Xenopus tropicalis: one gene and its partner. The protein of the gene in region 1 interacts with the protein of each later gene in a pairwise test. Links are inferred from orthologs where the notes say so. Each region holds a gene or a part of one and is shown in the gene's direction. Other genes may lie near its edges.

What was found.
Region 2: the proteins of prkaca (region 1) and prkar2a interact in a protein complementation assay, tested with the Homo sapiens proteins (2 studies listed by BioGRID). The link is inferred for Xenopus tropicalis from reciprocal best matches to the Homo sapiens genes PRKACA and PRKAR2A.

Annotation. Positions count from the first base shown.
Region 1 is NC_030679.2:134,205,063-134,209,176, reverse strand, and holds the start of prkaca (cAMP-dependent protein kinase catalytic subunit alpha), read left to right. Parts: upstream 1-1,218; 5' UTR 1,219-1,244; coding exon 1,245-1,290; intron 1,291-4,114.
Region 2 is NC_030680.2:136,484,685-136,488,826, reverse strand, and holds the start of prkar2a (cAMP-dependent protein kinase type II-alpha regulatory subunit), read left to right. Parts: upstream 1-1,313; 5' UTR 1,314-1,610; coding exon 1,611-1,875; intron 1,876-4,142. UniProt on the Homo sapiens protein: Regulatory subunit of the cAMP-dependent protein kinases involved in cAMP signaling in cells. Type II regulatory chains mediate membrane association by binding to anchoring proteins, including the MAP2 kinase.

The DNA of each region.
Region 1 (4,114 bases):
CGCACAGGTGTGAGTATGGTGGGCTGGCCTGGGGGGTACCCCTAAACATGGGGGGCAGCTGCTATAGGTCCTGTGGCTGTTAGGTTTGCCGCACAGGTGTGAGTAGGGTGGGCTGGCCTGCGGGGGTACCCCTAAACATGGGGGGAGGGGGGCAGCTGCTATAGGTCCTGTGGCTGTTAGGTGTGCCGCACAGGTGTGAGTAGGGTGGGCTGGCCTGGGGGGTACCCCTAAACATTGCGGGAGGGGAGGGGGAGGGGGGCAGCTGCTATAGGTCCTGTGGCTGTTAGGTTTGCCGCACAGGTGGGAGTAGGGTGGGCTGGCCTGGGGGGGTACCCCTAAACATGGGGGGCAGCTGCTATAGGTCCTGTGGCTGTTAGGTGTGCCGCACAGGTGTGAGTATGGTGGGCTGGCCTGGGGGGTACCCCTAGGCATGGCAGGAGGGGGGCAGATTGCTTTGGGGAGTGCAATGGATTTATGACTCCCTTTCTGGGGGCAATATCATATATCTAAGTGCCACTATTTAGGCCTGGTGTTTGGGTGCATTATTATCCTTTTTTCATTATTCACTCCAGTCCCCGCCCAGTGGAGCTTGCAATCTAATGTTCCTCTCACACCAGGGGCAGATTTATCTACAGCCAGTGCCTTTAAAATTTTGGAGTGTGGGGTAACCCGAGTACCTGGAGGAATTTCACAGAGACACGGGGAGATATTGCCCGGCTGGAATCTAACCGCCCCAGTGCAGCCATACTTCCACCGCACCAAAAGTCCTTCATATGTGCTGGTCAACTCCTAGCCCCTCCCAATATTCTTAACCTGTTATGGGGTTTTGGGAAATGTAATGCAACTAGACCTGGATAACAACATTGTTATAGTGTCTGTCCTATAACCATGTTAACACTTTTATTTCCATTTAATATACAGGAGAACACAAGGAAATCTGTTTACTGATTTCTGTGTGATTCCGTATAGGAATGACTTAGTAGGGCTTGGGGCTGGAATGGAGATAGAGAGGTGGCGGCCAAACAGCCCACAGCACAGTTGGCCACTAGACTGATAGTGATTAATGCCCACTTTACAAAGTTGTAATGTTTTATCCTTTTCTATTAATATATTGTAGGCTTTACAGTTGGACTGGCGAGAGATGTGTAATCAAGAGGTAACTGAATAAGTTTCTCATCGCAGGTCTTAAACTTATCGGTGGGGGGCGTTTGTCCAGAACTTAGAGGACCCGTCCGCCCCCCACCATGGGCAACGCGGCTACCGCAAAGAAGGGCGGCGAGATAGAAAGTGGTGAGTACTCTCCTCTCTTGGCACTGTCCTATCCCCTCCCCGAGTGTTCCCAAGCCAATGGGCGCCAATCAGGTGTTTGCTTACAACCAGCCGAAGCAGAAGACCGGTAAATACTGGCTTCGAATTGGCTAGTAGAGTTTGGCCACCTTTGCTTGTTATATTTTGCTATGCAGAGGCAGCACCTTGCTCTCTTTTTCCCATACAAGGATTAGTATGATCTCCCAGGCTTATTCACCTTCTCCTGCAAGTAATCCTCACTGCGTCAACCACTCTACACCTTAACTGCAACATTTTGTACCTACTCTTTATATAGTACTTATTGCTTTTGCTAGGAGGGGCACCCTAATAACCCTTGGAAAGGGATATGCATGTATATATAATTATTATATTGCTCCAACATATTCCCTAGCATTGTACTATATGATATTTATTCTCTTTTTTTATATAGTAAATAACTTTGTATTGGCGGAGCTGTAAGTGATTACTGGTGTAAAAGCATAATCTCTCTAAGCAGTAAGGCTTATGGCACTCAGTGTTTCTCTGCCAATGTAGTTTGTTCAGCACCCAGTGCCCACCCAGTACCTCCTGTCATTCATATGAATGTAAACTGTCTCTGCTTGTGACACACCTCTCTTTCACCCTGTGTATTTTCAGTCAGGTGATCAACAGGTGACACCCATTCATATAAATGGCATTTGGCTTGAAGGCTGGGCACCCATCTTGTGGGCTGGCAGATCTGACAGGGAGGGCAGAGATGTGATTAGCTGCACACTTCCTTCTGTACTCTTGGGGGAATAAGCACCAGGGCATACCCACCAGCTATTTTATGAGATTTCCTCTGTAAGCCATATTTATCACCAAAAGTGCGGTGCTCAAAAATAGACACAACTTTGTGCACAAATCGACAACATTTGTAAGGGCTCTGGCACACGGGGGAGATTAGTCGCCCGCGACAAAACTCCCTGTTCGCGGGCGACTAATCTCCCCGAGTTGCCATGACCCGCCATCCCGCCGGCGAACATGTAAGACTCGCGAGTCTTTTTCGGCGGTTTCGGGAAATCATCCCGCCGGCGAACATGTAAGTTACATGTTCGCCGGCGGGATGGCGGGTCATGGCAACTCGGGGAGATTAGTCGCCCGCGAACAGGGAGTTTTGTCGCGGGCGACTAATCTCCCCCGTGTGCCAGAGCCCTTAAGGTTATTTGCACACAAACATGCTCCTTGTACTTCCATACGGACCTATTATTTATAATACTTGGGACCTGGGGTATAGTGGATAAGGGGTCTTTCTATAATTTGGATCTCCATGCTGTTAGCTTGCGAAAAATCATTTTAATATTAAATAAACCCAACAGGATTGTTCTGCTCCCCAATAAGGGGTAATTATATCTTAGTTGGGATCAAGTACAGGTACTGTTTTATTATTACAGAGAAAAGGGAATCATTTAACCATGAAATAAACCCAATAGGGCTGTTCTGCCCCAATAAGGGGTAATTATATCTTAGTTGGGATCAAGTACAGGTACTGTTTTATTATTACAGAGAAAAGGGAATCATTTAACCATGAAATAAACCCAATAGGGCTGTTCTGTCCCCAATAAGGGGTAATTATATCTTAGTTGGGATCAAGTACAGGTACTGTTTTATTATTACAGAGAAAAGGGAATCATTTAACCATGAAATAAACCCAACAGGATTGTTCTGCTCCCCAATAAGGGGTAATTATATCTTAGTTGGGATCAAGTACAGGTACTGTTTTATTATTACAGAGAAAAGGGAATCATTTTACCATGAAATAAACCCAACAGGATTGTTCTGCTCCCCAATAAGGGGTAATTATATCTTAGTTGGGATCAAGTACAGGTACTGTTTTATTATTACAGAGAAAAGGGAATCATTTAACCATTAAATAAACCCAATAGGGCTGTTCTGCCCCCAATAAGGGGTAATTATATCTTAGTTGGGATCAAGTACAGGTACTGTTTTATTATTACAGAGAAAAGGGAATCATTTAACCATTAAATAAACCCAATAGGGCTGTTCTGCCCCCAATAAGGGGTAATTATATCTTAGTTGGGATCAAGTACAGGTACTGTTTTTTTATTACAGAGAAAAGGGAATCATTTAACCATTAAATAAACCCAATAGGGCTGTTCTGCCCCCAATAAGGGGTCATTATATGTTAGTTGGGATCAAGTACAGATACTGTTTTATTATTACAGAGAAAGGGAATCATTTAACCATTAAATAAACCCAATAGGGCTGTTCTGCCCCCAATAAGGGGTAATTATATCTTTGTTGGAATCAAGTACGGGTACTGTTTTATTATTACAGAGAAAAGGGAATCATTTAACCATTAAATAAACCCAATAGGGCTGTTCTGCCCCAATAAGGGGCAATTATATCTTAGTTGGGATCAAGTACAGGTACTGTTTTATTATTACAGAGAAAAAGAAAATCATTTTTTAAAATTTGAATATGGTTAAAATTGAGTTTCCGGTAACAGATCCCATACCTGTAGTAGTAGGAGGTGCCTGATAGTGTGCCAGTATGCTTTTTGATGCTGTGGAACCATGGAATTGCCAACACCATGACCCTGGCAGTAATTCCAGGGTTTCCACAGTAGGTTGCGCCAGCAGCTGCCACTGACTCGTGCCAAGTGAGTCCCACACTAACGCCGCTATTAACTGGAATTTGAGGGGAAAAAAATCCACCATCCAGTAATAATTGTAATTAAAAGCTCCTAATAATACTTTCTCCCTGCCGTGTTGTATTTAAGCACACTGTGCTGTGGCACTATATAAAGCCAGGTCAGTGCCTGCTT
Region 2 (4,142 bases), on another chromosome or scaffold:
GACAGAGCATTCCAAAGGATGGGTGCAGCACGTGAGAAGTCCTGGTTTTACTATTGAGTGCTATTTTAAAGGAAAAAGAAAGTCAGTCACTTGGGGGTGCCAAAATGTTAGGCACCCCCAAGTGACTTTAACCGTCTACCTTTTACCCCGGGCTGGTGCCCCTGTTCGGAGAGAACAGCACCAACCCGGGGTAGCTGCTTGTGCTTCCTCCTTTGCGATTCGCTGCGCGCGCAGTAGAGTGAAGAGCCAAACTTATATTGAAGTCGGCTTTTTCGCTCTACTGTGCATGCCCGGCCACCGGCAGTTTAGAAAGCGGTGCTGTTTTCTCCGAACAGGGGCACCAGCCCGGGGTACAAGGTAAGCGGTTAAAGTCACTTGGGGTGCCTAACATTTTGGCACCCCCAAGTGACTTTGCCTTTCCTTCTCCTTTAATATCTAATGGGAGCTGCTATCTTGCTAACTTCCGACTGTTCTGCTGATTCCGCTGCTGGGGGGGGGGGGGGTATCACTCGAACTTGAAGTTTATCAGAGCACAGGTCACATGGCTGTGGCACCCTGGGAAATAAAGAATATGGCTAGCCCCATGTGAAATTTCAAAATTAAATATTAAAAAATCTGTTTACGCTTTTGAAAAATGGATTTAAATGCTGGAGAAGCTCTAGTTATTATCATATTGTACCAACAAGACATTTACTTCCTATACTTCTCTATCATGAATACATCTATGACGCAAATATGTCCATTCTGGTACCTGAGGTATTTTTACTCTGCCTCTAGCCCCAACAGCCTATATCTGCCACAGGACAATAGGAGTTTTTCAGTCAATAACATTTGAAGGTCTCTTACTCAAAAATAGCAGCATTAATTCAGTTGCGGTACAACCTGGCCTACACTGAGCTTTTACTGATTATTAGCACCATATTAAAACAAGAGAGCTGCTGCAACACTGAGCGCTCTTATCTTCACCTTTTTACACAGAGCTCATTGGCTCCCAGCGCTCCTAAGCCAAGGCCAGGCAGTAGATGACGCAGAGAGGGGCGGACCCAACGTCACCGGCCGCTGTCACTTATTGGCATGAGTGGGTGGGGCTAAGCAAGTGACATGTAAGTTCTTTTCCTGAGGGATGACAGCTCTGCTCAACTTTTCGACGCATTTACGACAGCTTCAAGAATGGACCGTGGTGACATAGAAGCTCAGGTAACGTTGCAGGTTGACAAAGCAGCCGCGTTCCCCATGTAATATACTGGCGGAAGAGGACGAGGGATTGACGTCAGAAAATAGTCCCTCCCTCTTAGCCAGTGCTCTGCCCTGTTTTTCCCGCCTCCTGTTGCGCGTTCGCGTATCCGGCCTACTCGCTGCTCTTAGGGATCAGTGCGCGCTGCGCTCTCGCCGGTTTCTGGCTGTGTGAGGTGATTCCCTGAGCCGCGGCAACTCCTCAGCGTCCGCTGGTTTGTTGGGGGGAGGGAGGGGGGACTGTGCGAGCGGAGGAACCATCAGGAATATAGAGAGGGGGGGACAGCACCCTCTGGCCTGCTTGGTGGCTCAGCTTATCCAGTGTAAGGTGTGAATAGCAGCGAAACGGGGCTACCTCCCCCCCCAACCCGGGGACGATGAGCATCGAGATCCCGCCCGGCCTGACGGACTTACTGCAGGGTTATACGGTGGAAGTGCTGCGCCAGAAGCCGCCGGACCTGGTGGAGTTTGCGATACAGTATTTCACCCGGCTGAAGGAGAAGCAGCTCCAGGATGGCGCAGGGGCCGGCTCTTTACGGCCTCACGCCCGGGTGGTCAACTTCGACGGGGAACCCATGCAGACCGAGTCTAACGGGGACGAAGAGGAGGACGAGGAAGATGACGATGACTCCGATTTCGAACGTAAGAGGCCGCATGTGCTGTGGGCAGGGCTGGAGTTTGAGAAGACGGGGGGCCCCCGGCAATGCAGGAAGGCTGGGGGCCCCCCCCCGGCAATGCAGGAAGGCTGGGGCCCCCCCCGGCAATGCAGGAAGGCTGGGGGGCCCCCGGGCAATGCAGGAAGGCTGGGGGGCCCCCGGGCAATGCAGGAAGGCTGGGGGGCCCCCGGGCAATGCAGGAAGGCTGGGGGGCCCCCGGGCAATGCAGGAAGGCTGGGGGGCCCCCATTTGAGAGGGCAGACAAAATCACATTCATCAAAGAGCTATCCTGCCCCCCAGCTTTTGTTAATGTGCAGCTCCCTGCCTTGCTCTGCTGGGGCCGATGTGCAGCTCAACACACGGGGGCTGCAGCTTGGATAGGGTTCATGTGCTCATTTAAAGTGCCCCCCCCCCCAATACTGACAGTATGAGAAGTTATTTACACTTGTAACTGTGGGACAAATGTCTTTATCCTTAATAATAATATGTAGTTCTTGACTCTTGCAACAATGTAGCTGAAGTTCTGCCCTAGATCACTTCATTTACCTGCTACTTCTACATTGTGTCAGGTGTCAGAACCAGCAGTGCAGAGAATGGAAACAGCCAGTTTATTTACCTGCTACTTCTACATTGTGTCAGAACCAGCAGTGCAGAGAATGGAAACAGCCAGGCAGATACAGTCAGAACTCATTTACAAATAAACTTCCATAACCAACGTTAATGTATATTGGAAAGGTGCTTAGAATGACATTTCTTCCTTGATGCAAGGAACCGGTTTTGAGTGGCTCTTTCGGTTTTTTCTTCCGCATATTCCTGCCCCAAAGGTGCCCCTGTGATGCTGTAAAGTCAGATGCACTACCTGCATTGACAGAGGGCTGAGGAATTGACATCTCCTCATGTGGAGCAGGGCTTCCAATGTCTTTATTTTAGTACTTTTTGTTTCTTGCCAGTGATTTTTAAAATTACCAATTACAGAGAAACTGTAAATGATTTAAGGCGCATAAGTCATTTTTTGGTGTCTGGTCTCGCTTCATAGCCTTTAGATCTTTAAAGGGGAACTCCGGCTTCTGAACCAAAATTTGTTAAAGAGCCCCACACAATAGTCATTCCTAATATACCTGTCACTGTAATCTGTTCTTTTGAAATACAGTTTTTATATGCTGAAGTCCAGCTGCAAAACAGTTCTTCTCTTTCTGCATCATTTAAAATCCTAGCAGTGGAGGAGGGACTAAAACATTGATGTTACAAATTGTAACAACTTCTCCACAGCTTACAGACAGCATGCAGGAACTACATAACCCACAATGCATTGCACCGTGAAGTTTCTTATTGACATCACGTGTGCAGGGAATTGTGTGATTGGGAGGATGCAGGCAATTACTGTTACATTTTATTTGAGTCTCAAAGTAGTCGGCCAGATCAGGCGGGGCTTAGGGAACTGTTCCAAACCATATTATTACATTAAAAATCATGAAATGGATGCATATTTTAAAATTTGTGTATTGCAAAGTTGCTTGAAATTAGCTTTACTTTTCAAAAAGCTCAAGTTGTACTTGGGTGGAGTTCCCCTTTAATAAACTTCCCTTTCAATGATGTCCTAAAGCCCTGTAAAATAAGGGGTGATTGTATATTACTTAGAAATGGTGGCAAGTACCAAGCTCCTGTGGGCAGGACACACTGTGCACATTTCTTGTCTTTTGTTGAGTTTAAAATAAATTTCAAGCTTGCTGGGCATGTACATGTTTGAGGTCTCCCTTTAGGGCAGAGGACACTACATCAGTATAAGTAATGTACCTACTAGGCAGGCTTATAGTTGCATTGTGGGATATCTGCTAGTGATGCCTGCTGCTCATTCTGCAATAGGCATAACATTTTCTCTTACAGAAACATCACTGCTGGTTATGCTTGCTGCTCATTTTCCAATAATTGCACCCACTTTATATGGAACAGTCTTCTCTAATGTTTGTGAGGTTTCCTTCATAATTGCTTGGTTTATCTCTCTCTGTAAATAATCGATTTACAGATTGTGCTCTCTGAAACCTTGTAGATAGCGTCCCACACAGAGATTAGTCACCTGCGATAGATCTCTGCTACCGCGGGCAACTAATCTCTCCAAAATGCCTTTCCTGTGGTAACAAAGGGGATCACCACTGGAAAGGCATCACTTCCGTCTTCCAAAGTGGCGCGAAGCTTCCTCCTGCAGGCAACTTTGTGGGACTTTGGAAAATGGAAGCAATGGGTAGGCCTTTCCAC